4 linked regions of the Elephas maximus indicus genome follow. The protein of the gene in region 1 interacts with the protein of each later gene in a pairwise test. Links are inferred from orthologs where the notes say so. Each region holds a gene or a part of one and is shown on either strand. Other genes may lie near its edges.

Evidence for each region.
Region 2: the proteins of ZBTB8A (region 1) and ZNF276 interact in binary tests that used the Homo sapiens proteins (3 or more experiments, as listed by UniProt). The two-hybrid records come from large-scale screens. The link is inferred for Elephas maximus indicus from reciprocal best matches to the Homo sapiens genes ZBTB8A and ZNF276.
Region 3: the proteins of ZBTB8A (region 1) and ARMCX1 interact in binary tests that used the Homo sapiens proteins (3 or more experiments, as listed by UniProt). The two-hybrid records come from large-scale screens. The link is inferred for Elephas maximus indicus from reciprocal best matches to the Homo sapiens genes ZBTB8A and ARMCX1.
Region 4: the proteins of ZBTB8A (region 1) and RAD23A interact in binary tests that used the Homo sapiens proteins (3 or more experiments, as listed by UniProt). The two-hybrid records come from large-scale screens. The link is inferred for Elephas maximus indicus from reciprocal best matches to the Homo sapiens genes ZBTB8A and RAD23A.

What each region holds. Positions count from the first base shown.
Region 1 is NC_064821.1:73,378,767-73,386,208, forward strand, and holds the start of ZBTB8A (zinc finger and BTB domain-containing protein 8A), read left to right. Parts: upstream 1-4,438; 5' UTR 4,439-4,486; intron 4,487-4,492; exon of another isoform or gene 4,493-4,745; 5' UTR 4,746-4,832; intron 4,833-7,442. UniProt on the Homo sapiens protein: May be involved in transcriptional regulation.
Region 2 is NC_064839.1:54,863,635-54,871,368, forward strand, and holds the start of ZNF276 (zinc finger protein 276), read left to right. Parts: upstream 1-4,718; 5' UTR 4,719-4,932; coding exon 4,933-5,107; intron 5,108-5,710; coding exon of another isoform or gene 5,711-5,804; coding exon 5,805-6,108; intron 6,109-6,413; coding exon 6,414-6,460; intron 6,461-6,532; coding exon 6,533-6,979; intron 6,980-7,734. Other genes in the region: VPS9D1 (VPS9 domain-containing protein 1), read right to left, coding at 952-1,114, 1,218-1,310, 2,166-2,241, 3,656-3,754. UniProt on the Homo sapiens protein: May be involved in transcriptional regulation.
Region 3 is NC_064846.1:56,625,166-56,632,391, reverse strand, and holds the start of ARMCX1 (armadillo repeat-containing X-linked protein 1), read left to right. Parts: upstream 1-4,223; 5' UTR 4,224-5,308; exon of another isoform or gene 5,309-5,312; intron 5,313-5,616; exon of another isoform or gene 5,617-5,724; intron 5,725-6,085; 5' UTR 6,086-6,159; intron 6,160-7,083; 5' UTR 7,084-7,213; coding exon 7,214-7,226. UniProt on the Homo sapiens protein: Regulates mitochondrial transport during axon regeneration. Increases the proportion of motile mitochondria by recruiting stationary mitochondria into the motile pool. Enhances mitochondria movement and neurite growth in both adult axons and embryonic neurons.
Region 4 is NC_064821.1:31,605,280-31,612,437, forward strand, and holds the start of RAD23A (UV excision repair protein RAD23 homolog A), read left to right. Parts: upstream 1-4,155; 5' UTR 4,156-4,744; coding exon 4,745-4,816; intron 4,817-6,121; coding exon 6,122-6,283; intron 6,284-6,450; coding exon 6,451-6,632; intron 6,633-6,769; coding exon 6,770-6,825; intron 6,826-6,908; coding exon 6,909-7,036; intron 7,037-7,158. Other genes in the region: CALR (calreticulin), read left to right, coding at 32-235, 622-716, 805-1,014, 1,101-1,214, 1,300-1,443, 2,048-2,140, 2,228-2,425. UniProt on the Homo sapiens protein: Multiubiquitin chain receptor involved in modulation of proteasomal degradation. Binds to 'Lys-48'-linked polyubiquitin chains in a length-dependent manner and with a lower affinity to 'Lys-63'-linked polyubiquitin chains.

The sequences.
Region 1 (7,442 bases):
ATTAGGTCCGATGGCAGACTGCTAGTTCAAGTCCCAAGAACCAGAGGTCAGATAATGACAAGCCAGATGCAGGATACAGAGCAAGACCAAGCTTTGCCAGAGTGTCCATATATATTGGATGTAGGTCACAATCTCAAGGAAACTCCTCTTACGTCAGATAAGGGTGTGATTTGACTAGGGCAGTGATTTGAGGTACAGTGACTTACTAAAGGCTGTGACTCAAGGTACACTCCACACTAATCCTGCCTCATTAAAATATAGAGGTTTAGGATTTATAACACATAAAGCTGAGGATAGTTACATGATACCACAAAATGGAAGACAATTGCATCAGATCATAAAATGGAGGACAATTACATGATACTGGGACCCATAACCTAGCCAAGCTGACACACAGCACTGACCATCACAGTCACCATGAGTCAGTGCCCACTCAATGGCAGCTAAGAACAACCATCCACTAAACAATGGTGTGCTCAGCCTTCTTCACTTCTCACTTTATATTCTCTGTATCCACATTCATAGTTTTAATTCTTATTTACATGAGAGTGATGTCAAAGTTTTACTGCAAGCAATTTTATCTATTAAGGTCCAGTCCCTATATCCAGCTGCTTTCTTGACCCTTTGAACTACTCAGGGTTTTTGGTCGCACGAAGACTAGCCCTGGCTGATTTAAGTAGAATGAATGTTCACAGGATTGCAGATATAGCCTATGCTAGGCAGTCAGAAACAACAGCTAAAGTCACACCACAAAACTGGCCTGGTGAGGACACCCGAACTGCTCTCAGGCATGACAGCTTGTGTCACTGATAGTGCTGGCACTGGAAAGTGAACGCTATCACTAGCAGCACGGCCACTATGGCGCCTGGAGATACTACTTTGCTGGAACTGTCACCACTGCCAGAGGATTCTTTGAGGTTTCTGCTTCTCGGTGTCGTAACTCCATCTGCAAAATCCTTGGTGAGTGCATCTGATTATCAAAGCACAGACCATTAGTAATTTCCTAGCTGCAAGGGATTCTGAGAAAGCAAGTCTCTGGTATTTCTAGATGCTATTGCAGAAAGCAAATTCTACCTCGCACCAATTACTCATAAGGTAAGGAATCCCCGGACGTATAAACGAGGTTCCAATGGTATATATACAAAAATAATGAAGATGCCAAGATGTTCAATCTGCATCTCTAATTGGACAGCTCAAAGATACCTCAATCTCAACATATCCAGGCTGAATTTATAATTTTTGTGGCCCTCTTAGCCCCCTTCCCCCCAAAAATCTGGTCCTCTTCTAATCTTTTCTCTCCATGAGTAAGACCACAATCCATCCAGTTTCACAAGCTAATGGGCTTGGAGTTGTCTTTGACACTTCCTTCTCCCTCACTCCCCGTAACCAACCTATTACTACCTCTAATATTTATCTCTCTTGGTCTCTCCACTTCTATCCATCTCCTCTGCCTTCACTTTACTTCAAGGCTCCATCATCTTTCAGCTGGACTACTGCAATTCACTCTCCATTAGTTATCCAGTGCTGCTATAACAGAAATACCACAAGTGGATGGCTTTAACAAACAGAAATGTATTTTCTCACAGTTTAGGAGGCTAGAAGTCCGAATTCAGGATGCCAGCTCTGGAGGAAGGTCCTTGTCACTTCCTGGATGATCTTCATGTGAGTTGGCATCTCTCTTCCCCCATCTCTGCTTCTTTCACTTGCTTGTTTAATCTCTTTTATATCTCAAAAGACATTGATTTATGACACACCCTACACTAATCCCGTCTCATAACATAAAGATAACCATTTCCAAATGGGATTATAACCACAGGCATAGATTTTAGGATTCTGGAGGAACACTTAACACTTCCCTTCTAATATATTCTCTAACAATAAGGCCAGGGTCATCTTTTCAAAATGCTTATCTCATCATGTTACACAGCCCACAGAGCATAAAATACATCAACGGCTTCCAAACTTAACATGGCCTACAAGGTCCTGGCTGGTCTGGCCCTTGCTTACCTCTCCTGCCTCATCTCTCCTCACTGTCCCTCATTCTGCATGCACTCCAGCCTCTTCAGTCTTTCATACTATGCTCCCTCCTCACGAGAACCTCTGTACATTTTGATCCTTTTATTTGGAATACTTCCTACCACTCTCACCTTCGCCTACTAATTGCTACTTCAGATTTTCAGTCAAGATCATTTCCTCAAGGAAGCCCTCCCTAAGCCTCCTTCCCCCGTAAGACAGATAACGACATCATCTATATGCTGACAGCACTACAGACCTCACCTTCATGATTTATTAAATTTTTTAAATTATATTTATTTGATTACTGTCTGTCTCCCCCACTAGACTGCCAAGTCCCATGAAGGCAGAGAGACCAGGTCTATTTTTTGTTAAACACTGCATTCCAAGAATAAACCACAGAACCTTATCCATAAAATCAAAATACCAAACCCGTTGCCATCGAGTAAGTTCTGACTCATCGTGACCCTACAGGACAGAGTAGAACTGCCTCATAGAGTTTCCAAGGAGCACCTGGTGGATTCAAACTGCTGAACTTTTGGTTAGCAGCCGCACCACTTGGCCACAATGCCACCAGGGTTTCCAACCTTATCCATAAAAAACCAAACCCATTGATGTCGAGTCAATTAGGACAGAGTAGAACTGCCCTAGAGAGTTTCCAAGGAGCGCTTGGTAGATTCCAACTGCTGACCTTTTGGTTAGCAGCCATAGCACTTAACCACTATACCACCAGGGCTCCCCCCACCTTATCCATTAAAAAAAAAAAATCCATACCAAACCAAAAAAACCAAACCCAGTGCTGTCGAGTCGACTCCGACTCATAACAACCCTACGGGACAGAGTAGAACTGCCCCATAGAGTTTCCAAGGAGCGCCTGGCAGATTTGAACTGCCAACCCTTTGGTTAGCAGCCATAGCACTTAACCACTATGCCACCAGGGTTTCCACCTTACCCATAAAAAAAAAAAAAACATAAAAAAGTAGGTGTTAAATAGCAAAACCAGTTGCTTTCAAGTGAATTCTGACCCATGGCAGCCCCATGTGTTTCAGAGCAGAACTACACTCCCTAGGGTTCTCGAGGGCCAGGTGCTTTCAGAATTAGATCACCAGGTCTTTTTTCCAAGGCACCTGTAGGTAGATTCGAATTGCCAATCTTTCTGTTAGCACCTGAGTGTTTGTCTGTGCCACCCAGATACTCCTAGGTGCTGAATTATACCTCTTAAAATTGGAATGAATGATTTCCCTCGAGACTTGGGACTGAAGAGTGGGGGGTGGGGGGAGTAGAGTTTAAGAGAATAAGCGCTCCTGAATTGGTTAATGGTGCAGCACCAGCAGAGAGAAGCACCAACTCTTGAAGCTGAGAGGGTGAAGGTGAAGAAAAAAATCTGTCTTGGACCTCGTTGGACCTTCCAGTTTCAGTTTTTTAGGAGGACTGGCTGCACAGCTACTCACGCTCACTTCTCCCTTATTAATTAAATCATAAACTCCTATTTCTCCTTTCTGGCAACCATGTCTGTAGAACTATTTTGCATGTTTTAATTAACTTAGGCTAAAATGAAAACTTCCTGCTGTAACAATGTCTAGGCCTCTCTGGAAGAATTCTCAACGAGGGTGCTAGCAGAGTACACTCAACACTCCTGATACCTGATGGTTTTCAAATATGTTTTCATGTTTGATAAACAGATTCTACCTGTTCAGAAGATGAGGAGACACAACTAAATGGCAACACACCTCTGGAGTAATACAGAAGTGATTATTAAGAGATACTTGAATATTTTTTATCCTTCCCACAGAAGGTATGATCCTCAAAATCACAGCAAATTATTGTTGAAAGCAAAGTAATAAACTTCATTCAATATGACTCATTATGGCATAGGAGAGGAATCCACTCAAAAGCTAAATATGAGTTTTGAAAATTTGAGTCTTTTTTTCAGTTTTACTATATGATACTGTACTTTTCAGTACCTGGCCCCAGGACAAGGAACTAGAAAACTAGTATGCAGAATTAACGCTTCTCTAGTAACAGTGAAAATTCAGTGATTTACTATTTTAGCAAATGTATATACTGATGTTTGTACTAAATATTAGAAACATAAATGTCAGAAAGCTTGTTGTAACAATGAATTTTTATATTTTAAAACACAAAACATGCTATCTGTACTGATTTTATACTTCCTCTGAACTAAGAATTATGTTCTTATTTCAGCTTCTCTGGATTTTTCCTCTTCAAATAAAATGCTTGTCACCTATAGAGGTTTAGAAAAGGTTACCCCTGACTAAAATAATTGCTTCAATAAAGAGAAAAATTCTGTGGAAATCTCTTACATTTGACGTTGCTAAACTTAAGTACAATAATGTCACATGTACTTATACAGTAATTGTGGGCACGCCTAAGTCCCTCCCTCTTCCCTAAACCAAATTCCCCAGATCCTAGAAATCCAGCCTTTCTGCCCTCCGGAGGCGCCTTTCTCAACGTAAAGTACAATTTAAAATTTAAGCTCCTGACTAAATAATGATTCCGCAGTCAACTGCTAGAGAATCTGGGCACCCAGTGCTTCTGGAGGGTGCATCGGGGTGTAGGCAAGGGCAGGGGGAGTGGGCGAAGCTGCTGGTTGGTGCCTGAAATCTGTGCGTTGCCCCTTTAATTGTGTCCCCAGCCCTCGGGCGTTTCTGTCCAACGCCCACGTCAGCAAATACCTTTTGTTTCTCTCACGTTGGGGCTACTTGTTTTAGGGCGCAAAGGAACGGCTTCGTAAAGGGGTTATTTCCCCCGCCGAGAACCTGGAATCTTCTCCCAACCCGCGCGCACGACCCGTAAGGGTAAGTGGCTGCGCGCGGCACGGGCGGAGGGCGGGCGGGGCGTCGGGGCTGCCCGGGACGGGCCCGCGAGCCTCTCTGCTGGCTGAGGCGCCTCCGGCTCCGCGGGCTCCGACTGCCCGGGCGGCAGCGGCGCCGGGATGCGGGCCCGGGGCGCGCCGCCCCCAGACGTTCTCGGGCCGGCGGCGGGCGGCGCAGAGGCCAGCGGGCGCCATTTGCAGCCCCGGGCGCAGCGGCGGCGGCGGCGGCGCGGCGGCTCCGAGGGGCTGGAGGTGGCCACAAAGGAGGCGCGGAGAGCTGGGGCGGCGGGCACGGCCTCGGGGCGGCGGCCGGGCGGCCCGCGGGACAGGCGGGCGGCGCCGGGGCGCACCGGCTCCCGCGCCCGCCCCGCCCGCGTCTCCCCGCCCGCGGGACCGGCCCCTCCTGCGCGCCCGGGAGGGACTGCGGGACAATGGCCGCGCCGTCGCCGCCCGCCCGCGCTTGGCGGTCCCCGATGAGCGCGGCGCCCGCCTCGCCGCCCAGCCCGGCCGCGGCGCGGGGAAAGGCGGGAAGGCGCGCAGAGCCTCCTGGCGGCTGCGGCGGGAAGCCGGCGCCGGGCCGGTGCCGGGCGTGTCTGGAGCCGTCGGGCGTCGCGGACTCCGGGAGGGTCGGCGGCCGGCCGGACACGGGCTGCGCGGCTGAATGACGGGCGGCCCGCCCAATGGGGCGGTGCGGCAGGCGGGGCAGGGACCCGGGGCTTCTCCCCGCGCGGTCCCGGGCGCTTTATTGGGAGGGTGGCTCCCCGTGCGGTAGCTCGAGTTTCTCAACACGTTCTCCAGCGTTTGGTTTTGTATCCTGATGCAACAGATCTGGGCATAGAACCGAAGGCAGGCGTACTACACCTAACAAATGGTGAGCAACAAGATTCGTTTTATGACGGAGCCAGGCGTCCACATCTGCCTGTGCCGACTGCCCGTTCCGTAAATGAGCCGTTTGGCCCCTTTATCCCACCAGTGCGTTTACTGACGGTTGATTGTACGAATAGCCAGACTCGCCGTCTTTCCAAGACCTGTGTGGAAGTGTTGGAATCGCACTTACCGGGCTTTTAACTAACTTCCTCAGTAATACCTCTATTTTTAATAAACCTTTATATTTGCAGAACTTTTATTTCGTAAATGGAGTGCTTTCATTTGTAGGTATTTCACATAAAAGAACCACCCAGTCAAAGTGATGGCTATTTCATTTTCAGATGAGGAAACACTGTTTGACCCTCTAGGCCAGGGGTGAACGAGAAAGAGGGGGACCTTCCAATGTGCCTAGTCTCCTGGTCCTCCTCCACACCCCCTCCTAATGGCAGCACCTCCAGAAGAATATTCCAGAGGAGCAAGCTAGTCACATAGCTCCCTGGCTCAAAAAGCCTTAACAGATCTTTATCAGAATAGAGCCCAAACTCCTCAGCAGAGGATTCAAGCCCTAAGTCTCCACGTCCTTTTTTATCCCCCCGCCCTGAGCAAGAGCCCTTCACTCATAACCAGGGACCAGACCCCATTAGTCCTGGGAACTTTGCTGGCCACACAAGTGGTAAATGAGAAGTGAGAGTCGGTGGCCTGGGACCCTTCACCCAATGGGCGTGTGTGGAAGTCAGCGTTAACACATCAGCTGGAGGCCACGTGAGGGGGCGGCTCCTTCCAGGGGTATGGCCATTTAAATTTCTGATCCCACGAAAAAGGCCACCAGGCCAGACCTTACCTCATAGCCCTGAAATCAACGGCGTTGCTGGTGATTAATGATTTGGGCCAAGCAGAATCATTGTAACATAGGGTAATACTTGATTCCTCCTATATCATTTAAATCTGATTTTCTAGATAAAGTAGAATTTCCGTCTAATGAGATTAACCCCTTCAGTGATATACGTTTGTAATGTTTGAAGGGTTTGATGTAAGCTTTTTCATGTCCTTGAGGGAAGTTTTTGTCACTTCTCTGTCAAAGTCCATCAGTGGCTCACCATCTCATGCAGATTAAAAGCCAGAGTTTCCCCAACTCCAGCTGTCTGCAAGGCCCTGTAGAAATTCATTCCACCTACCTATGTCCTCCTAGAATCTGGCTTAACTTTCTGACTGTGTCTTCCATTCCTCTTCCTATGACTCCTTGATGTTCCTCCAAGCCTCCTAGCCGGCCTCGCCTCACCACCTTAGCACTTGCTCTTCCATCTGCCTGGAACACTCTTTCCCCAGATATCCATGTGACACTCTCACTTCCTTTAGGACTTTACTCAAATGTTATCTTCCCAGTGAGGCCTTCTCAACTATGGTTTTGATTCTCTTAAACATTGTTACACTTAATTCTAAATCTTTCCAGGTTTAAAAGACGTTTACCCACTAAGGAAACCCTGGTGGTGCAGTGGTTGAGTGCTACGGCTGCCAACCAAGAGGTCGGCAATTCAAATCCACCAGGCACTCCTTGGAAACTCTATGGGGCAGTTCTACTCTGTCCTATAGGGTCACTGTGAGTCGGAATCAACTCTACGGCAGTGGGTTTGGTTTTGGTTTGGTTACCCACTAAAGAACACAATTGGCATTCCAGTTGACTGAAGTTCCTTATGACCCAGGAATTTTTCACCCGAGAGGCTAACTA
Region 2 (7,734 bases), on another chromosome or scaffold:
GGGCGGTAGAGGGTAGGTCCAAGGGAAACAAGACTGAGGAGGGAAAGTGTTTCCTGGGATGGAAGTATTGTGCCCACAGCAATACATGCAGAGATGAGGTGACTGAGGGGTTGGGAGGAACCTCCTGAAGAGCCTGGAGGGCTGGCCAGAGCAGGGCCAAGAGGAGCAGGTCCTCCTTGTTTGTCCTACTTGGGATTCACTGGGCTTCTTGCATCTGTGTCTTGATGTCTTTCATCAATTCTAGAAAATTGTCCACCATTGTCTTCAACATAATGACCCTCTGCCATTTTCTTTCTCTCCACCTTCTAGAATGTCAGTAAACTTATGTTAGACCTTCCATCGCTCTTTTATTTTTTTTTTATGAAGCATTCTGGGTGTCTTTGACTTTTCTTCCAATCCACTAATTCTCTCTTCAGCTATGTCTACTCTCCTGTTATAAACTTGTCCACTCCATTTTTTGTTTTTTTGGCTTATTTCTACTAGAAAACATATATATATATATATATATTAGTTAGTTTTAAATAGTAACTTCAGTTGCATTTTTCATTTCTAGAAGTCCTACTTAATTCTTTATTTCCTCAGTCAGATTTTATGTTTTCTTGCTCAAGATTTTATAATTTCTTGGTTTCTCTAGATATAAAGAACATAACTGTTTTATAATCTGTGTCTGATGACGCCAATATTTGGAGACTTTGCAGGTCTGTTTCTGCTGTCATTCCCTAATAGTTTCTTGTTTCCTCATGTGTTTGGTTATTTTTGACAGTGTGTTATTCAACTTTATGAAAAAGCAAAATGCTTTCCTCCAAGTAGGTTTTGCCTTTGCTTCTCTCAGGTACAAGGGAATTCCCATTCTGGGACCTATTTTGACTAAATTTCCGTGGCCAACTCATATTGCCCAGCCTCTAATCCCAATCCCCAGGCTCAACTCACACCCCATTTTGCCCATCTTACTTTTTAGAGTTTTGTGACTCCACCATCTGAAGCTTCTGGAAGATTTCAGGAGGTAGAAAAGGAGAGAGCTTGCCCCCTTCATCTGAGTACACCCGGCGGTGTCGACTGGTTGGTGAGGGTACTGCAGCAGTCATAGGCTTGGCTGGCTTCAGGCATGGTTTCCCTGTAAGCCATACATGGCCACGGGTCAGTAGGATGGCCCCACATTCCATAAAAAGACACAGACTTGGGTGTACTCAGGAAACCTCCCTCTGTTGGAGACCCACCCAGCTTGGCAGCAGTTGATTGGGCCCTCTCCAAACACTGTTCAGCCAACTTCAGCATCTTCGAGGTGTCTAGGGGCACTGTTTCCCCGGCTTCTGGGGGAACAGGAGAAAAAAAGGCCAGTTACCTTCAGCTGGACTGCTAATCAGATTCTTGCTGAAGTGAAAACAAGGTATGGGAAAGCTGGGTTTACCTCTTGATTTTGAGGCAGATTCCAGGCTTGGCCAGCCCAGCATCTGATTAACTTTCTTTCCCTCACTGGAAAGGGGACCTTTGGAGTTCTCTACCTAAACAAGGCCTTTCTTTATTCCTCACTGAGGGCTTTTCCTGTACTCTACCCCTCTGTGTGAGATAGGCCATGCAGCTGCTATGTCATTTCACAAATAAGGACGTGCTGAGAGAAAAACCTCATTTCTCGGCACCCTATCACTCGCCTGTGTTTGTACACAGATCTGGCTTCCTGCCTGCTGCTCAAAGTGTTTCATGGTCTTTTCCTCACATCAGAATGACTCCAATGCCAACCCAAGGTACCCAGAGCTCTGCACAACCTGCCCAACCCTAACTTCACCTTCTCCCTCTCCACTGGCCTTCCACAAACACACCACCCACTCCTACCTCAGGGTCTTTGCACATCCCTCTGCTGGGAATGCCTTCTCCAGACCCTGGCATGGGTCACTCCATCCATCAGTGGGTTCAATGTCATCTCCTCAGGAGTGCTTCTGTGGCCTTTCCCATCACACCCCACCCCAGCTCTCCATCCTCTTGCCTGCAGCACCTGTCCGTTCTGGCCCCTGCATCATGCTATTGCAGCTGGTGCTTGCTGAGTGCTATTGGTCCACTTTCTGCTAATGATCATGCTGGCAGGAGATGTCCAGGCCTGAGACTCTCTGAGGGCTATGTTCCCATGATTAGCCCAGCATGGGGAGGACCTGCGACGTTCAGAGCCATACCTTTGGTCATTTCTGCTTCTTCCAACAGAACCTGGGAGATGTAGTGAATGCTCCTCAGATATTCTGTATATGCCTCCTGTGCCCAGGGAAAAGAAATGGCAGGGATCAGGGCTACGGAGGTGAATGAGTCCATCGCACTTGCCTGGTGCCCCTCCAGGAAAATGCAGTGCCTGGACCCACAGAAACAGCAGTGCCTGCTTATCATGAGATACACCAGAGACATCTAGTCTGCTGTAGTTGGCTGGTAATTGTGCAGTAGTCTAATGATAGTATCCTGGCTCTCTAAGACTTGAAGGAAAAGATGTCAGCACCTGCAAACAACGCCAAAGCACATCTTCCTACAAGATCTGCAGTAGGCACTGGGTGCCGAGACCAGCTGGACACCAGTCCTCCTTTCACTGCGCTTCTTTCTGGCAGAGTAGGGCTGGGAGCAGCCTCAGCAGTTGCTCTCACTTTTTACGCTCTATAATTTTTCTTCCTGTGTCATGACTCAGGAGCCATTCATTCAGTGGCTTTAAATAAGTATTTCCTGTGATGTTAAAGAGGTATGATATTGCAAATCTTAGAATTACTTCCTGCCTTAGGTTTTGGAAAATCCCTCTCCTGATCCTCAGGGTGAGTACCCCTCAGCACACAGCAGTCAGAGGACTAGTGCTGAACACTCTCTGCTGCTCAGGACATTAAGAACCATGGCATGATGGTTTTTTGTCCTTTTTTTGGCATCCCAGTTATCAAGCCACCCGTCTTAAGTCTACTCAGAGGTAAGACCAGGGCAGATTGTGGACAGGGTTTTTGACTTGTGGGGGCACCTGGTGTCCCAGAAAAAATGTGGGAGAAGCAGCAGATTCAGAAACTAGGATGTTTTTCTTAGGCACGCACAGCCTCTTCCCTACCCTGGGCAGTCTGGTGTGGCCCAGGCGGTTTTTCTACCTGGTCCCCACCTTGAGAGTCAGCTCCCAATCTCAGGAACAAGCCACCCTTTCCACCCCCTGCATTTCCTTCCAGACAGGCCCTGAACAGCCAAAGCAGCACTATTGGGCTGACAGTTAATATTTTCTGGATTCGGTCCCCTTTGGGAATCTGATTAAATCTACAAAAAAGGAAGAAAGGATGCACACACAAAAAACTCTGGGGGTTAGTTCACAGACATTTCTGAATCCCCTCTACAATATCATCTCAGCTCTGATTCCCCGACTCATTGAACAGGCGAGAACACTGAGGCCCGGAGAGGGCAGTGAGCTGTCCAAGGTCGCAGAGCAGGGCAAGACCTCAGCACCGCCGGGTCCAGCCTTCTTACCCCAAGGTGGGCGTGGGCGCCCCCAAGTGCCGAAGCTCGGGCAGGGCCGAGAGCAACCTCGCCGCCTGGCCGGCTCTGCCCTCGCCCACCCGGCTTGCAGCAGGTTGGGGTCCCTCCCGGCCGTCGCCGCGACCGCCTCCCGCCCCCGCCCGGGGGGCTAACCTCCGCCGGACCCCGCCTCCCCTTGTCTCACCCGGGGTCGGTTGCCAGTGTCCAGCTCGATGGCCCCGTTAGCCAGCTTCATAGCGCTCTGCAGCGGCTTCACCGCGCCATCCCCGGCCGCAGCGGCCATGGTGCGGGGCGGGGGAGGCAGTGGTGGCGGTCAAGGGGCGGGGCGGGCGGTCGGGAGCCCGGAACTCTGCCTGCGCGGGCAGTGGAACGCCGGAGCGACGGACCGCCGGACGGGGCGGTCCCTGCTGGAAGCACTTCCGTCGTCCTGCTCCGCCGCAGGAGCAAGACTCCCGCGGCAGAATGAGCCAAGGCGAGAGTGGCGGAACCATGGCCTGGTAATCCGAGGCCAGGCCCTGCTAGGGTCCAGGAGCGGACTCTGGACCACGGGCCTCGGCTTGCAGGCCGGGTCTCCCCATCTGGGAAAGCGGATTAGCGATGACAACGTCTTCACGTAGCTGCCCTGAGCGCCGAGCCCTCGCTCCACGTCCAGGACCCCTCTAACTCCGAACAGTCCCGCTAGTTGCGCTTTATGATTTTGGTACTTTTCTGTATGTGTATGTACTTAAATAAAAAATTGCAAAAAAGAAGAAAAAATCAAAGGAAACTTCAAGCAACATGGCTAAGTATTCTGAAAAGCCCTCCAATGCCGAAAGGCACCGTGCTGGCGGACCGAGCAGGGCCTACCACCTCCGTGCGTAACTCTTGGGGCCCAGCGTCTGCCCGTCAGCGCCTCGTTTCCCTTCCACAAAGAGGTATAGCGGGTCTGCTGTCCCTCACGGGCCTGCCACGAGGTTTAAATGAGTCGCCGTACGTCAAGGGCTCAGCCCACTGCCTAGCCCGAGGCCGGCGCTCTCTAGGCGTCAGCGCTGGGCACTATTCCTCTCGCGGATGGAGCGGGAAGCGAGCCTGTGGACGTCACCGGGACGCTTTCAGGGCGGTACAGCCTCAGAGATTTGGACCGCGGCCCGCACGGGCCCCGCCCCCGCCGCCCCCTGCCCCCTGCCTTTAGCCCTGCCCCCGCCACGCCCCGCCCTCCATCCCGCCCCACCACGTCCCCGCCCCCTGCCATCAAGCCGAGTGAGGCCGAGCTGGGCCGAGTGGAGCCAAGCTGAGCCGAACTTAGCCGAGTGGGGCCGAGCAGAGCCGAGCGGGCTCGAGCGGAGGCGAGTCTGACTGTGCTGGCGGGCCGAGCGGGGCCGAGCGGAGCCGAGGGGTACTGAGCGAGCGGGCCGAGGCGAGGCCGCGCGCCGTGCGCGGTGCGCGCAGCGGGCCGGGCCGGGTCTAGGTGGGGTCGCCGCCATGAAGCGGGACCGGCTCGGTCGCTTCCTGTCGTCCGGGGCGGCCCGACAGCGCGGGGGCCCGGGCGGTGGCGCCTGTGGAGGCGGCCGGGCTCGGGGCCGCCCCGCCCGCAGCTGTGGGCTGAGCCCGGATGGGACGGCGGCGGCGGCGCCGGAGGACGGCGCTGAGGAGGCAGGTATGTGGGCCTGACTTGGGCCGGGGGCCGGGGGCGCGGGCCGGGTCTCTCCTGGAGGAGGGGCGAAGAGGCGGCCGAGCGGTCCGGGATGGGGGGGCGGCCCGGCACGTCAGGACCAGCGCTCGGGGCGGGGTGGACTGGCCGGGGGACGCCGGGCTCGCCGCGCTGTGACCTTGAGGTGGCCACTCACCCTCTCTGAGCCTCAGCCCTTCTCCTCAAGCCGACCGAGGGGTCGCGAGGACCAGGGAGTTACTGCTCGGTGGGCCGGGTGGGCTCTGCGTCACCCTTCTGGGCGGAAGGGGAGCCCAGGTGCCAGCACTATCACTTCGAGTTCCCCGGGCGGGGGAAGTGGGCCAGGGTGAGGGGGCATGGTGTGCGAGGCGACGGGGTGAAGGTCGACGGGGCTGGGGGGCCGGGTTGAGGGGCGCTTGTGTGAGGGGGGCCTAGGCGAGACGGGCCGTAGTCGGAGCTGTGGAGATATTTAGGATATTTTGAAAGTTTTTTTTTGGACTGGAAGTTCCTCTAAAAAGCTTTGTCTCGGCCTAAATGTTGAGCTGGGAGCCCAGCACTTTCCTCCGCTTAGGTTAGTGGTCTTTGGCTTAGGGCGCTTTTTCCCAGATGCCCAAGCTGAGCAGAGCAGCTGAGTTCAGGAGCTGGCCTCCCGCTGACCATTCATGTCCCCCGCTGCTTTGCCCAGGACCAGGCCGGGCGCTCGCCATGGGGCACTGCCGCCTTTGCCACGGGAAGTTCTCCTCAAGGAGTCTCCGCAGCATCTCCAGCAGGGGGTCTGGGGAAAGTGTGGGGAGAACGCCCCCTGGGGAGCGCATTTTCATCAGGGATTTCCAGCGCCTTCTGGGGGTGCCCGTTCTCCAGGATCCAGCCCTGTCATCCTTCGTCTGCAAGAACTGCCATGCCCAGTTCTACCAGTGCCACAGCCTCCTCGGTTCCTTCCTGCAGAGGGTCAACGTCTCCCCAACTGGCCGCCGGAAGCCTTGTCCAAAGTAGGCACTCACTGGCCAGGCAGTGTCCTCCAGGCACCTCAGGTGCTGTTCTGGGGGCAGGTGTGGGAGCAGGCCTGGCTGGGAACCTCTGCGGAGGGCATATGGTGTGAGCACCACTATACAAGCGTGGGGAGTGAGGTTCAAGCAGGGCTATGAGACGGGGAGGGCAGGGTGGTTCAGGGAGAGTGGATAGTATCTGAAGGACAGCAGGACATTCAAGACCTTGGGGACAGCCATGAAAGTAGGACAGAGCTTTGAGCTGCTAGGTGTGCTCCTCCTGCTCATGGCCACACAATCCTTTGCAGGGCCGGGACTCAGTCCCAGACTGCTGCAGAGGAGGGCACGTGTCCGGGTGAGTGTCCGGGTACACGGGCAGCCGGGGTGGCAGGTGCTGGCCAGGGCTGACTCTGTCGACTCTCTTCAGCGGACCTGGTCACATGGAGCCCCCGGTGCCTGCAGGCCCTGGTTGGGTGGGTGCACGGGCACGCAGCTGGCTGCGGGGCCCTGCCCAGCCTGCAAAGGATGCTTTCTTCTGAGTACTGCGGCGTCATCCAAGCTGTGTGGGGCTGCGGCCAGGGCCACGACTACGTCATGGACACAGACTCCGGCTGTGGGGCCCTTGTGCTGGACAGCACGCTGGCGGTCAAGTGGGAGTGGGACAAGGAGACAGCCCCGCACCTCACCCCCAGTCAGGGGCCCAACCCTGCTGGGGCTGGCCCCCAGCACTCCCAGGGCAGAGGGACCATAACTGAGGCCGAGACAGAGGCACTGCCCAGCATGGATGCGGCTCAGCCTCCCTTGGATGGCAGTCCTGTGGGGTCTGGGCAGAGCCCCCCGCCCCAGCCAAGTTCACCCCCCAGTGGGGTTCCAGGTAAGAGCCTGTGCTAGATCCAGGTTCCCTCGTCCTTAGCGGGGGGGGGTTCTGGGTCGCTGCAGAGGAGATAAGCGGAGATGGTGGGGGAGTTGGCTCAGCCCCTTGGAGGAGCTTTCAGCTGCATACTAGACTGAGGAAGTCAGGGCTGCCAGCTGGTTAGGGCTGTGGGCCCTTCATGGGAAGCCTGTCTGAGCAGTTTCTGTAAAGACACGTGTCTCAGATCTCCAGTCTTTCTCTAGCCTCACACCCTGGGCAGAGGGTACTGGCTGTTCCCGTGGGCTGAGAGGCCTGAGGGAAGAGAATAATGGAGCCCTTGTCCATGGGGTTCGGGGGAAGGGTGGGCTGCTGCTGCTGAGGCTGATGTTTTGGGCCAGCTGCAGGTCACTCCCTGGACCTCAGCCAGCCGTTCTGAGGACACTCCAGTGGGACCAGTGTGGACAAGGGAGAACACAGGCCCCTTATTTGGGGCCCAGATCCCATGATGGCTGCCTGGGGACACTGGTGTTAGGAGGCTAGGGGTCAGTCTTCGAGCCTGCTGCTCTCGATCCTCATAGGTGGCACTTTAAAAAAGTGCAGCTTGGCATGGGTCGAAGGGCCTTGGGACAGGGTTGGCCAGGGGGTCACTGTTGCTTCATGAGCATCTTAGTACCACTTGAATTTTTAAACTATGTGCACGTAATACTTTGATAAAAATGGTTCTTTAACTACTTGAGAACACCCACAGCATATAGCTAACTCCCCACCCCGGGGCT
Region 3 (7,226 bases), on another chromosome or scaffold:
CCTCAACATAAAGAAAACAAAAATCCTCACAACTGGACCAAGTAGCAACATCATGATAAGCAGAGAAAATATTGATATTGTGAAGGATTTAATTTTACTTGGATCTGCAATCAACGCCCGTGGAAGCAGAAGCCAAGAAACCAAATGATGTATTGCATTGGGCAAATCTGCTGCAAAAGGCCTCTTTAAGGTGTTGAGAAACAAAAAGATGTCACCTTGAGAGCTAAGGTATGCCTGATCCAAACCATGGTATTTTCAATCACCTCATATACACGCGAAAGCTGGGCAATGAATGAGGAAGACTAAAGAAATATTGACGCCTTTGAATTATAGTGTTTGGGAAGAATACTGAATATACATACCATGGACTGCCAGAAGAATGAACAAATCTATCTTGGAAGAACTACAGACAGAATGCTCCTTAGAAGCGAGGATGGCAAAACTTTGTCTCATGTACTTTGGACATGTTATCAGGAGGGACCAGTCCCTGGAGAAGGACATTGTGCTTGGTAAAGCTGAGGGTCAGGGGAAAAGAAGAAGACCCCCAGTGAGTTGGATTGACACAGTGGCTGCAACAATGGGCTCAAACTTAACAATTGTGAGGACGGTGCAGGACCGGGCAGTGTTTTGTTCTGTTGTATGCTGGGTTGCTATGAGTTGGAACTGACTCGACAGCACCTAACAACAACAATAACGCTTTCAAGGTTCAACCACTTTATAGTATGTATCAGAACTTCATTTCTCTTTATGACTGAATAATATTCCATCGTGTACCACATTTGTTATCCATTCTTCTATTGATGGTCACTTGGGTTGTTCCTACCTCTTTCTTGTTGCAAATAATGCTTCGATTACATATAAACTTTTTTTTAAATCTATGTGACCCTACCCATTGCTGTCAAGTTGATTCTGACTCATAGCGATGCTATAGGACAGAGTAGAAATGCTCAATACGGTTTCCAAGGCTCTAGTCTTTACAGAAGCCGACTGTGACATTTTTCTCCCGTGGAGCAGCTGGTGGGTTTGAACTGCTGACCTTTTGGTTAGCAGCTGAGCACTTAGAGCTTAGCTACTGTGCAATCAGGGCCAACTAAAAAGTTAGGAGTGATTGTCACAGGGTTTATCCTAGGATGGGGTAGATAGGCTATCACAATGTTTATCAGACGGGTGGAGAATCTGAGACATTTTTATTTTCTGCTTCCTTCTTTTCCTAGTCAATACCCGCTTTCCTTCATGTCAGCTCAAGTTGTACATCCCTCCCTGTCCCCCACAAGGAGGCTTTCTCTACAGCCAGACTGTACCACTTCTTTTACTACATTAACAGTTCTCCTTTCCTTCGCAGTGTTTTTCTCTGTGCCTATGTGTATTTAATTCAATAAGGCCTTGTGTCCCCTATGAGACCAAGGTCAGTGCCTGCTTTTGCTCAGCTATATTCCCAATAAGCACAGCACTTGTGGCAGCTCTCCCCACCTCCCAATATTATGATATGGACGATTGTATTTTCTTCAGTCTTAAATATAGGATTATGAAAGTGCAACTTTTATACATCCTTTCCCTCTCAATCACAGATACATAGAAGAAGAATACATCAGAAACAAACTGCGTTCACTACACTAAACAGTGCAATATTAAGGGCATTCCCATTAACTAAAAGAACAAGATCAGGGTGCCCGCCATCTTCTGGAAGTTCTGGTCAATATAATCCATCCAGAAAAGGAAAGAAAAAGATGTACGAATACTGGAAAGGAAGAAATGAAAAATCATCACCTACAGATGGTTATGTATGCATACCTAGAAAAGCCAAAGATATCAACTGAACAACTATTAAAAATAATAAGAAATTTCACTAAAGACAAATATATCATAATTAATTACTTTTCCTTAGACAGGCAACATGCCATTCACAAAAGCACTAAAGTAACCTTAACGGTAACATTAACCATGGAATAAACTGAACAAGTAATGAGTATGACCTACCTGAAGACGCTTATAAAGTTTATCGAAGACCATAAAAGCTGACCTGGATAGAAATACTCAATTTTTAAAGAGGTCAGTTATTCTCAAATTAAAGTGTAGCTGTATTGTAAATAAATACCAATAGTCTTCCTTAAGTATACTGTTGTTCAACTTGGAACTTGACATACATGAATACATATATTTTTTGTATTTGCATGAAAAAAGGTGGAAATTGTTGAAGGTGGTTGGTGGTGGAACAGGCTTTGCACTCTACTTCATACACTTCGGCATTGTTTTCATATTAAAAAAATAAGGAGCATGTGTTACTTTCATGAGAGAGAAAGAGAGACAGAGCCAAAGACAGATTAGATATTCCTTTTGGGGGGTATGTTTTTTTTCTAGGTGAGTAGTTCTTAACTATTTTTTTTAAGTCATAGTTGCCTATGAGAATCTTATGAGAGCTATGACCCCTCTCCCCACTAAAATGAACACAACTTTGCATACAATTTCAGGTAGTCCACGGACTTGGTCAGGTGAACACACCTACGCTAGCTTTATCAGTATGATCATGGGGAGAATGCCTTAGGCTCAGTCATAAATTTGCCTGAGGGGGCACCAAGGTGGGTGTGGACTGGAAAACAGTGATCCTGCATCAAGGCTAAGTTCTTCCTGGATGCCCTGGAGTTAAGGAGACCAGAGATAAGTGGCCCAACAGGGTGCACTTCTCAGGCAAGGTGGGTGTCAGCAGTGACTACAGGCAGAGAGCAGGCAGGCCTGGGTGCTCTCCTCTCAGCAATCACTTCTTCAGGCTTCTTGAAAACCACCAGCTTCAAGGGTAGGTGGGAATAGCAGTTCTCAAAGGCTGAGTTTCTTCTTGGTGGATTTGGTGGAGAACGGGAGGAGGGAAGGAAAGAGCCAAAGGCAGCTACTCAGGTCACCAGCTTGGTCACATGTCCATGTATATTTTTGGAGTGAGCAACAGTCAGGTGTCTGAAGCAGGGGATGTGATGCTTCAGAATATGGGAGAGGTGGGGGAAGCAGCACATTCCCCACTTCTTTACAGGGCAGGGGGGATTGGGAGGATCAGACCATCTCTGCAGTCCTCAGACCCTCAGCTGCCTTGGACTCAATAGAGTGGAAACTAATCCAGGAGCAGGTGTTCAGAACAGCCATCAAATCACAGGAGGTTCACAGAGCAGTCAGCCAAGTCTTTGGGAGGTTAAATACATGATTTTCTGTACTAAAACAAGACAGGACTGTGTTGCTTTTATTTTAATGACTTATTTTATCAAATTGCAAGGTGATCCAAACCAAAAACCAAACCCACTGCCGTCGAGTCGATTCCGACTCATAGCGACCCTATAGAACAGAGTAGGACTGCCCCATAGAGTTTGCAAGGAGTGCCTGGCAGATTGAAACTGCTGAACTCTTGGTTAGCAGCCGCAGCACTTAACCGCTATGCCACCAAGGTTTCCCCGCAAGGTGATCCAGAAAAAGTAAAGGATTATTTACATAAAGTGGCCAAGATTAGACAACTGGCATCTCTTCGTGGACAATTAGTAGATCATGCCAAAATCTTGCTGATTTTGGGGTGGTGGTGGAAGAAATTCCAGCTTTCAATTTTAAATCAGATACCTATGTTTTGAATGCTGCTATTCAGCTGTAATCAATAGAACCATTTTCCTGGTGTTACAAATAAATGTAATGAAATTAATGAGGCCTTTTGTTTTTTCCTCCTTCAAGTTAAATCTTTCTCCACACAAGTGAAAGTAGCATTATTTTGTTTTCTCAATACAAAAGCAATGCATATTGATTTAAAAAATGAATATAAAGTTTTCAGAATAAAGTAAGACACTGATTTCCACTCCCTATCTCCTCTTCTGAAACCCTGTCCCCTCCACCCCTCCATTTCCTACAGGGGTGCAGGGGCAATGTTGGGCCTTCATGGCTGAGGGAAGGGGATGCGAAGGGATAGGCGGCTTGACATGGAGCAGAGAAGAGAAAAACATTATTCCTCAAAGGGGCAGAAAAGGTCAATGGCCTTGGAGCAAATGCAGCCTCTTTCTGTCAACCAAAGAAAGGAAAATCTAACTCCAAGGAGAAGGGGCTACTTCTGGTCTGTGGGATTGGCAAAGAGGAAAATGAATGACAGGACCCGATGTCGTGGGGAAGGGAAGGGGGCGCGGGCTGGCTCCTGCCGCACTGCTGGTGGGAGTGGAAATCGAGGTCCTGAGCTCACTGGTGACGTGGCCCTCACGTGAGCAGAGCCAAGGAGTGCAGACGTCCTTCTAATCCTGGGCTACATTTGGTTCGGTTGCCAACCCCCTATAGCCTTGAGGGTTCGCGAGCCTGTGTTCCTGGGGAAGGAGGAGGAGGTATCTGCCCCATCTCAGCAGGTCTGTGTGTGAATGGGAGCTGCCTCGGGACCCCTGCGGTGCGGTAGTGGAGGGTGGATACCGAAGGGGGACACAGCCTACTTTCTCTGCTCCCTTGAACTATACCTAGCCATTTCAAAAATAAAAATAGTGGATTTCGGGGGCCGTATTCCGGGGGAGGCTCCAGACCAGGAGAGGGGAAACTTTTGGCATCCTAGATGTTGAATCGGAAAGGGCAGGTATTAAGGATTAGTGTCCTGTGTGCCGGCCCATGCACCAAACCAGAATTTGGGGGCTGTGCGTCTGCCTGACCGTCTGTCATTCCACCTTGTCTTCTTTCAGTAGGGCGCTGTACCAGTAGGAACAAGGGAATAAAGAATCTGCCCCAAATCCTTGCAGGTCCCCAGAAGGGCGAGGATGGCTGAGGTCCTTGCCTTATCTTGGGCCCGTTCCTGACTCTCCAGCAATCTTCTTTCCGTTTTATACAGGCAAAAGATGTGGCAGCGCTCACAGGAAAAACGGCTATTATTAGGGGCGGGGATGGGTTGGGGAGGGGACTGGACAGATCGTTTCGCGCTCCGCTGGTTTTCCACACTCTCTCGCCCCGCCCCCTCCCTTTCCGCGGCTGGAAAGAGGCGTGGTTTTGGCTGGGAAAATGGCTGACCGCTGGGGGGTGGGGATGGAGCGGAGGGGGTCGGGGCCGGGGACCTCGGGAAGGAGAGTGCTGGTGTCAGCCGAGTCCTAAGAAGTGGGGGTAGGGTGAGAGACAAACGGTGGAATCCCTTTGACAACCAGGACCCTGAATTCAGAAAAGCAGGTATTGGGACCCTCTCGAGTGCTGTTCTGTCCGCGGAGTCCTCCGTCTCTGCCTTGTCGCCTGTCGGTGTCTGTGACTCTTGCGCCTGAAGACCAATCTGCAGGGTGACGCCGAAGCCTGCCGAAGCCTACCGAAGAAGAAGAAAATTGTCCAGAACCAAGTAGGTGAGAGCGAGGTGGTAGCACTGCTTCGAGCTCCTGGGGTGGAGGATGGTGGAGACCGCAAACTCGAGGGGGGCCGTGGGTCTCCTCCACCTCCCCCTTCCCTCCTCTCTGCACACTATTTCGGAGTTTGGAAAGGAAAGGACTCTGCAGCTCTAAGCCAGGGAAGGCAGTGGCTGAAGGGGACGGATTCAGGAGAGTCCTGAGGTGGAGGTGGGGAGGACATTGTTCCGAATAGCAGGCACACGCTGTCTTTGTTGTTGATCCACGCACCAAACGCTCAGTTCCAGAGTTGTTTATTCCTTAGGTTTCGTGGAGGCGGAAACCGAGGGAGGGAAGAAGGAAATTGCTCCGGAGCAGTGGAAGTTGGTATAATGGTGACAGGGATTGTCCTGGTACCCCTGAGATAGTGGAGGTGCGAAGCCAAGAGCAGAGTTCCCAGACCTTTATGCATTTCACACCTCTCAGGCTTCCAGACACTGTCACCCCACCACCATCCACTTTGTTACAAGGAGGGGGGTGTGGCGTCATCTTCTGAGGAAGTAGCTGGGGGGGGAGGGAGGGGAGGGTCAGAGGAGAGGATGGAAGGAGGAGGGAGAGGGAGAGAATGAGTTTCAAAGCAGTGCCTCTGAGTGGAGAGTAACTGAAAGTGGGAAAAGTTAAGCAACACAGGGGGAGGGCCTGGGATTCATGAGAGGGAAGTGTGTCCCTACTGATGTGAGGGCCATCTGTCCCTAGAGCTCTCAGCATCCCCCTCCTGACCCCCTTGCCTGCAGGTTTTCAGGAGGCAGTGCACCTGCACCTTGAGGCAAGAAAGAGGAGAAAAAAGAAACTGCCTGCCTAGATCAGTGTGAGTATATGTGAGGGCGCTACTGTCCTGGGACATCTGGAAGGGCAAGGTGGTAGGGGACTGATTGTTGTTAGGTGCCCTCCGTTCAATTTGGACTGATAGTGACCCTCCCATGTGAGAGAGTAGAACTGCCCCATTGGGCTTCCTAGGCTGTGATTTTTCGACAGGAGCCATCACCAGGTCTTTTCTCCTTTGGAGCGGCTGGGTGGGTTCAAATCACCAGCCTTTCTGTTAGCAGGGCTCCTTGGAAACTGAATCCAAAATCAAACCCGTTGCAGGTGAGTTGATTCTGACTCATAAGGACCCCGTAGGACAGGGTAAAACTGCCCCATAAGGTTTCCAAAGCTGTAATCTTTATGGAAGCAGACTGCCACAGCTTTCTCCCACACAGCCGCTGGTGGGTTAGAACTGTTGACCTTTTGCTTAACAGCTGAGTGCTTTTAACCACTGCACCACCAACACTCCAGGGAAATGGTTAGAAACTTTAAATTTAATGCACTGGTGTGGGGCGGGAGAAGCCCTGGTGGTGCAGTGGTTAAAAGCACTCAGCTGCTAACTGAAAGGTGGGTGGTTCCAACCCGCCAGCTGCTCTGTGGGAGAAAGATGTGGCAGTCTGCTTTCATAAAGATTACAGGCTTGGAAACATTATGGGGCAGTTCTGCTTTGTCCTAGAGTGTCGCTATGAGTCAGAATTGATTTGACTGCCAGGGGGTTGGTTTTGTTCTTTTGGAGAGTGGGTTGGGGGAAGGGGAGGTCGGAAACTTTCCAAAATAAGCTCCTTAGGAAAGGACTAGGTGGTTTAGATACCAAGCCCTGGGCCTGTGCTATGTCCATCCCTTTCTTGGTCTGTGGTTCAGTATGTCTGCATGCAAAGGCACAAAAGGAGGAGGAGTCTGAACCCTCAAATCTTCCCTTTATTTCTAGATTCCACTTTCTCTGCAGCTGCAAAAGAACCTGCCAGCAGTAGCTGAAGCCTCCAGCTCCTGACTCTTCTGGGCCAGAGGGAGTCCACTCCGCCTGCCCCTGGGATTCAGAAATTCTCCCCAACTGTACCATGGGCCGCACTC
Region 4 (7,158 bases), about 42 Mb from region 1:
TAGCTGTGTCCTCATCACCGTTTTATGCCAGGGCTGCAGACAAGCCAGGACGCCCGCTTCTACGCCCTGTCGGCAAGATTCGAGCCTTTCAGCAACAAAGACAAGACGCTGGTAGTGCAGTTTACTGTGAAGCATGAGCAGAACATCGACTGTGGGGGCGGCTATGTGAAGCTGTTTCCTGATGGTTTAGACCAGGCGGACATGCATGGGGACTCTGAATACAACATCATGTTTGGTGAGGGGCCCTGCCCAGTGGTGACTTCTGTACCCTTCCTTTGGGCTCTTCAACCGTGAAAGGTGGTCCTGAGACTACAGAAAGAACTTACTGACACTCATTTCCATAGCAGGAAAGCTAGGAGAATAGATACAGTTAGCTGAGTTTATGCTGGTGATTTATAAGTGTCTGTGTTATCGTTAGTAGCTGTTGCCTCATTTTATAAATGAGGATACTAAGTTCTGCAGTGATAACTTTTTAATTTAAGGTTCTACACACAGTCTATTAGACTTAAAAGATGGTCTATACTAACATACGGATTTTGAGAATGAAGTCTTTTGCAAAGAGGGGTGGGAGCTCCTGGTGTGGGCAGCCTTTGGCTCTAACTGAACCTGTTTCCCACTTAGGCCCTGACATCTGTGGCCCAGGCACCAAGAAGGTTCATGTCATCTTCAACTACAAGGGCAAGAACGTGCTGATCAACAAGGACATCCGTTGCAAGGTTTGCCTGGGGGTGGTGGCAGAGGGCTTCCAGGGAGGATCCAAGGCCAGCCGGGTGGGCGGGACCACTCACTTCCCGCCCTCTCCAGGATGATGAATTCACACACCTGTATACTCTGATCGTGAGGCCCGATAACACCTATGAGGTGAAGATCGACAACAGTCAGGTAGAGTCAGGCTCCTTGGAAGATGATTGGGACTTCCTGCCACCCAAGAAGATAAAGGATCCCAGTGCTGCCAAGCCTGAAGACTGGGATGAGCGGGCCAAGATCGACGACCCCACAGACTCCAAGCCTGAGGTTGGTGCTTAGGCCAGGGCTGTCCACAGTAGAGGGTGTGGAGGACAGAAAGCCAAGCTGACTCTGACCTCCTTGTGTACGCCCAGGACTGGGACAAGCCTGAGCACATCCCTGATCCCGATGCCAAGAAGCCCGAGGACTGGGATGAGGAGATGGATGGAGAGTGGGAACCACCCGTGATTCAGAACCCTGAGTACAAGGTGGGCTTGGGGCTCTGAGTAGGGCTGGGGTGTATGGTGGAGAGGGCACAGAACTTTGCCCACCATCAGGTTTTATCCTCCACAGGGTGAGTGGAAACCCCGGCAGATTGACAACCCAGATTACAAGGGCAAGTGGATCCACCCAGAGATCGACAACCCCGAGTACTCCCCTGATGCTAACATCTACTCCTATGACAGCTTTGCTGTGCTGGGCCTAGATCTCTGGCAGGTGAGGCACAGCGGGAGGAGGAAGGAGGATCCTGGGGGGGAGGAGTGACAGAATCTTAACCCAGAAGACAAGGAACAGAGGAGGTAGGATTCAAATGCAGGTAGGTCTGACTCCAAAATGATCCTTTTTCTGTTCTTGAAGTATTTCCTGGCCTGTTTTTAGGGAGCACTTGCTGTGTGCCAGGTAGTTTTCTCAAATACCTTTATTTGAATCAACTCAATTCTCCCAGCCCATAAGGCGGTTAGATCACCCCATTAGAAGTTTGCATTTGTAGTTCTGAATTTTTGTGTGTCTGTTTCCTTGTTCACCGGTGTATATTCCGCCTAGAAGAGTACTTGGCACGCAGTAGGTACTTGATAACTATAAGTGAGTGAAGAAATGAGAAGTAGCAGAGCTGGGATTTTAAAGTCAGGTGGGTGGACTGCAGTCCCTGTCTATTTTTAACTGTAATATTAGCAATGCTATTCTTCTGTACATGTGTTTATAAAGAAATGTAGAGACCGAGGTAGCATAAAATGAATATAGGAACACAGATGTGAGCCTCGTCCAAGGCTAGGGCCACCAAGTGTCATCTCTAATCACTTCTCTCTCCACTCACCCCCAGGTCAAGTCTGGCACCATCTTTGACAATTTCCTCATCACCAACGACGAGGCCTATGCTGAGGAGTTTGGCAACGAGACGTGGGGTGTCACAAAGGTGGGGCCGGCCCCAGGCCTGGGTTTGGGGGTGGACAGGGCTGGCAGGTAGGGGACAGGCTCTGAGGTGTATGGTCTGGGCCCACAGGCTGCAGAAAAGCTCATGAAGGACAAGCAGGACGAAGAGCAGAGGCTAAAGGAAGAGGAAGAGGACAAGAAGCGCAAGGAAGAGGAGGCGGCAGAGGACAAAGAAGAAGAGGAGGACAAAGATGAAGATGATGAGGATGAAGAGGACAAAGAGGAGGATGAGGAGGAAGATGTGGGCCAGGCCAAGGATGAGCTGTAGAGGCCATGCCACCTGCCTCTGGGGCTGGACTGAGGCCTGAGCGCTCCTGCCACAGAGCCGGCCACGCCAAATAATGTCTCTATGAGACTGGAGAACTTTCACTTTTTCCAGGCGGTTTCAGATTTGGGGTGGGTTTTGGTTTTGTCCCCGCCTCCTTTTTTTTTTTTTTTTACTGGTGTTTTGTCTTTGATTCTCCCTCAGCCCCCACCCCTGGGTCTCATCTTTCTTCACATCTTTTCCTTCCTCTGTTCTCTGCCTGAATCCCTTAGTTCCTTTCCAGCCTGGGGGTCAGGGAGTGGGTGTGGAGAAGCCCAGGCCTGAGATTCCATCTGCTCTCCTTCCTGGAGTCCGGGGGGCATCAGGAGAAAGGGGTGGCATCCCAGCGCCCCCAGCACTGAGAAAGAATGGGGCTCTTAGGGCCCAAGCTCTGCCCCCACTTTCTCCCTACTCCCAGGACTGGGCCACTTCTGGGTGGGGCAGCAGGTTCCAGCTCAGCTCATACTGAGAATGTAAGAACTACATGCAAAATTTCTATTAAATTAAGTTTTGTGTCTTCCTTCTGTGTTTCCTTTTTCGGGGGAGGATGGACATCTGGGAACCAAAGATGGCCTTTTTTTCGGGGGGGGGGGGTTGGCTCCTAAGTAATGGGTTCTCTGAATTTTCATTTTTCAGCTGCTGAAGAGTTGGCTGAGTGTCATCCCACAAGGTTACAAAGGCCCTTGCTTGTCTAGTGAGCCCAAATCGGAGGATAACTGTTAAAAAATATTCCACGTATTAACTCTTTTAGTTCTGTTACCTATTTGCTTTGATTGTGAGGAGACTGAGGCACAGAACTTAGTGGTGGGGCAGGGATTTCAATCCACACCTGAACACTGTCTCATGGTTTATCTCGTCATTGAGCTTTTTTCTGTCCCTATTACCTAATGATTACATGGCTGTTAGTGCTTTTAAACTTTTTTTTAATACCAGCTGGAGTTAAAAGCTATTTACTTTTATAATCGAGGAAATAGGTTCAAGCACAACCCCAAGTTCCTGTGGTCTTCTGTAGCCATAGCCATGATGGGGTCTGAACCCGTTGAGGGGAAAGAGGGCTTGAGGTAGTGCAGAGAGAGCAGAGGTGGAGATCCAGGAAGCTGCCTATGGCAAGATGGTGAAAGCCCAGTGAGGAGGATGGGGGAGTTGATGGACCCTGTTTCAGGAGAGGGTAAGAAGCTGTAAGCTGCTCCTGGCTGGTGCTGGTGGAGGTTTGCATAGGCTCAGGGCATGGAGTGGAGAGAGGCAGCATGACTTGGTTACAGTTGTTGGGCAGTTGGTGAGGACTGTCCAGTGCCCAGCCTGGGTGAGTTGGATGGGAACTGTGAGAGCAGCAGGTTTGGAGGCAGCTAATGATGGTCAGTTGGGGAAAGGTCAGGTTTGTTGCCACAGCCTCCTCTGGCCTCCAGGCTTCCAGTTTCGATACCCTAACTGGGAATCAAGCCTGCTCCTCCAAGCCATCCAGTCTCAAAACACGGGCTTTGTGATGGCAAACCTAACTCCCCTTGTTCCCTCCACTTGCTCCTTCATGCTTCCATTCCTTTGTGTGCGCTGTGGCTATTTATTGGAAGGAAGCCTTTTAAGTTAACGTCTTCATTAAGTGTTTTTGGAGTCAGACCCAGGATTCTGTGACCAAAGTGGCTGGACAAATAGCAGCAGCGGTGGGAGGCCCCAAAAATCATCCTCTTCAGGAGCGAATAAGTGAAACCACAAAATCGTTCCAGTGCTCCTTCTGTTTCCACGCCCAAATGAGTTTTTCTAAATTGTTGGTGACTTTCCAGGTATCCTTTCCCATCTTGAGTAGTTTCCACATTCAAGGCTCCACAGCTGGAATAATACAAAGCTCATTTGAATGGGCAAAAACATGAACATTTAACAGAAGAAATGTAAGTACATAACTTTTATTCAACGTCACCAAAAATAATTTTTTAAGTCACTTCCGCGTGGAAGCAGGGGAAACCGGAGCCATTTTGTGACCACATGACGTCACCGCTAACCGGCATGGCGTCACTCCCAGGAAGCCACGTGACGGGTGGGCGCGCTGTGCAAGGAGTCTCCCCGCTCCCCAGGAGTGGTGTTAATCTGCGCATGCCTGGTCAGAGGACGCGCAGGTCCCAGCCCACGAACCTAAGAGCCACGCGCCGGTCACGTGCACGGTGGCCGGCGCGCGCACCATCTGCCCCGGAAGCGGTCTGCGCGCGGCGCTGCTGGGCGCTAAGATGGCGGCGGCGTGAGTTGCATGTTGTGTGAGGATCCCAGGGCCAGGATCCGTCGCTCGGCCCTGCCATGGCCGTCACCATCACGCTCAAAACGCTGCAGCAGCAGACCTTCAAGATCCGCATGGAACCTGATGAGACGGTGCGGGCCGGGCTGAGCCCCGCGGGCAGGAGCTACGACGGGTGCCGGGGGTAGGGTGGGGGCGGGGAGGCCGGGATCCCGGTGAGAGGGGCGCAGAGGTGGGTGCGGGTCAGGTCCTGTCGTCTCCCCACCTGCCGGACCTCCTCGGATCTCCTCCATGGTCCCCGACCCAGCCCCCAGCGGCTCGGCCGCTCCCTGGCGAGTCTTGGGGCGAGGCCCCACCCCCGGGGCGCCCGCCAGGCCCCGGCTCCAATGTCAGTGCTCTCTCGCGGGGCGCAGGAAGCCGTAGGCTCGGATTCCCGGCCGGGTCGCGCTCTCCAGGGCGGGGGCTCCCGCGTTCCCGGCTTTGCAGGCAGCTTCTCGGAACGTTGGCAGCTGAATCCAGGATTGGTGATCGGGAGATGCGGAGTGATGACAGCGATGAAGATGATAATAAACGGTCGAATCGTATTGGTTTTAGTGGTCCATTTATTCTTTACTAGTTGATTGAGCTTTTTGGTGCTATTGTCTTACTAAATGTGTAAAACAGCTTGTTGTTTGGAAACTGATATTCTTCGTTTTACTACAGTCATATATAGCTAATAAGTGGCAGAGCTAGAATTCTAATTCTATTCTGCCTAGTGTGAGAGCTTACGGTCTGAACACTACGCTGTTTTTGGCTGGAAGGAGCTTAGGACTTAAACGTAATAAGTGTGTTAACCGGTGTACTTGCCACTTTTTGCACAGCTACCCCCTAAGAGAGACATTAAAACCCACTTTTTGTAGAAAAGAAAATAGACTTATGTTTTTTGACCAGCTTATTTGTTTGATTTTGGGCAAGTTGCTTAACTTTCCTGTCTATTTTGGCAAATATAAGATGAGAACTTACATGTGTATGATAACCTATACATGTAGGATAGTATTAGTGACATAAGATGTTTTAAGTAAATATTGTGTAGTCTTAATGCCCAAGGTTGTCAGCATAGAATGGGGGACGCTTCTTTTTATTATTTTTCAGCACACTTTATGTTATTTAAAAAAATATTCCTTTTGTTCTCCGCACACCAGTGTCGTTTCCATGAGAGCAGGGCCATGTGTTGAGTTTTATTTTCTGTGACTTCAGTGCCAGAAACAGCACCTGGCACATAGAAGGCACTCAGTAAACGATCTGTTGAACGGTGGGATGGTTCAACAGATTCACATCTGGTACGCGTGGCTATGAGGTTTAGCCTTTCTGCCTTTCAGGGCTTGTAGCCACTCCCCCCAGACTGGACAAGAAGAGGGACTCCTGGGGGGTTTGCAATGGCTCTGTATTCTTTCGTTCAGGTGAAGGTCCTAAAGGAGAAGATAGAAGCTGAGAAGGGTCGGGATGCTTTTCCCGTGGCTGGACAGAAGCTTATTTATGCCGGCAAGATCCTGAGTGACGATGTCCCCATCAGGGACTATCGCATAGATGAGAAGAACTTTGTGGTTGTCATGGTGACCAAGGTTGGTGAAGCGTGCTTGCTGGGAGGGTGTGTGGATTTGCTGTGGAGCTGGCTAAGAGCACATGTGCCCAGGACAGATTAGCCACGAGCAGGGTGGGGCTGCAATAAGGCGGGATATTGGAGCTTGATAGGGGTGCTAACACCGTTCCCTTTTCCTGGCTACCACAGGCCAAAGCTGGCCCAGGCACCTCGGCACCCCCAGAGACTTCACCCACTGCTGCCCCTGAGTCCTCCACATCCTTCCTGCCAGCCCCTGCCTCAGGCATGTCTCATCCCCCACCTACGGCCAAAGAGGACAAGAGCCCATCAGAGGAATCAGTCCCCACGATGTCCCCGGAGTCTGTGTCAGGGTAAGGCAGAGGGGCAGTTCCAGCTTGGGTTCTGTTCTCCCAGTACATTCCAGTACCCACATACGTGGTCCCATGCACCTGGAAGGAGGGCAAGCTGGCAAAAGCCAGGGTCCGATTTCTCTCTCTTGAATTTGCAGCTCTGTTCCCTCTTCAGGTAGCAGCGGGCGAGAGGAAGATGCGGCCTCCACGCTAGGTGGGTGGGTGGTCCCTGGGTGTGGGAGGGCCTGGGTGCTGCCCTTTCCTCTCCCTGGTGACCCAGGCCTTCTTCCTACACAGTGACTGGCTCTGAGTATGAAACGATGCTGACAGAGATCATGTCCATGGGTTATGAGCGGGAGCGGGTTGTGGCTGCCCTGAGAGCCAGCTACAACAACCCCCACCGTGCTGTGGAGTATCTGCTCACGGTGAGGTGGGGCTGCTGCCTCCCCAGGGAGGCTTTGGAGGGCATCCCAGAGCCTTGCTGCACTGATGGGCATTCAGGGAGCTAAAAGCTGTCCCCAGAAGACTGGGTGGTGGTTCCGACCAG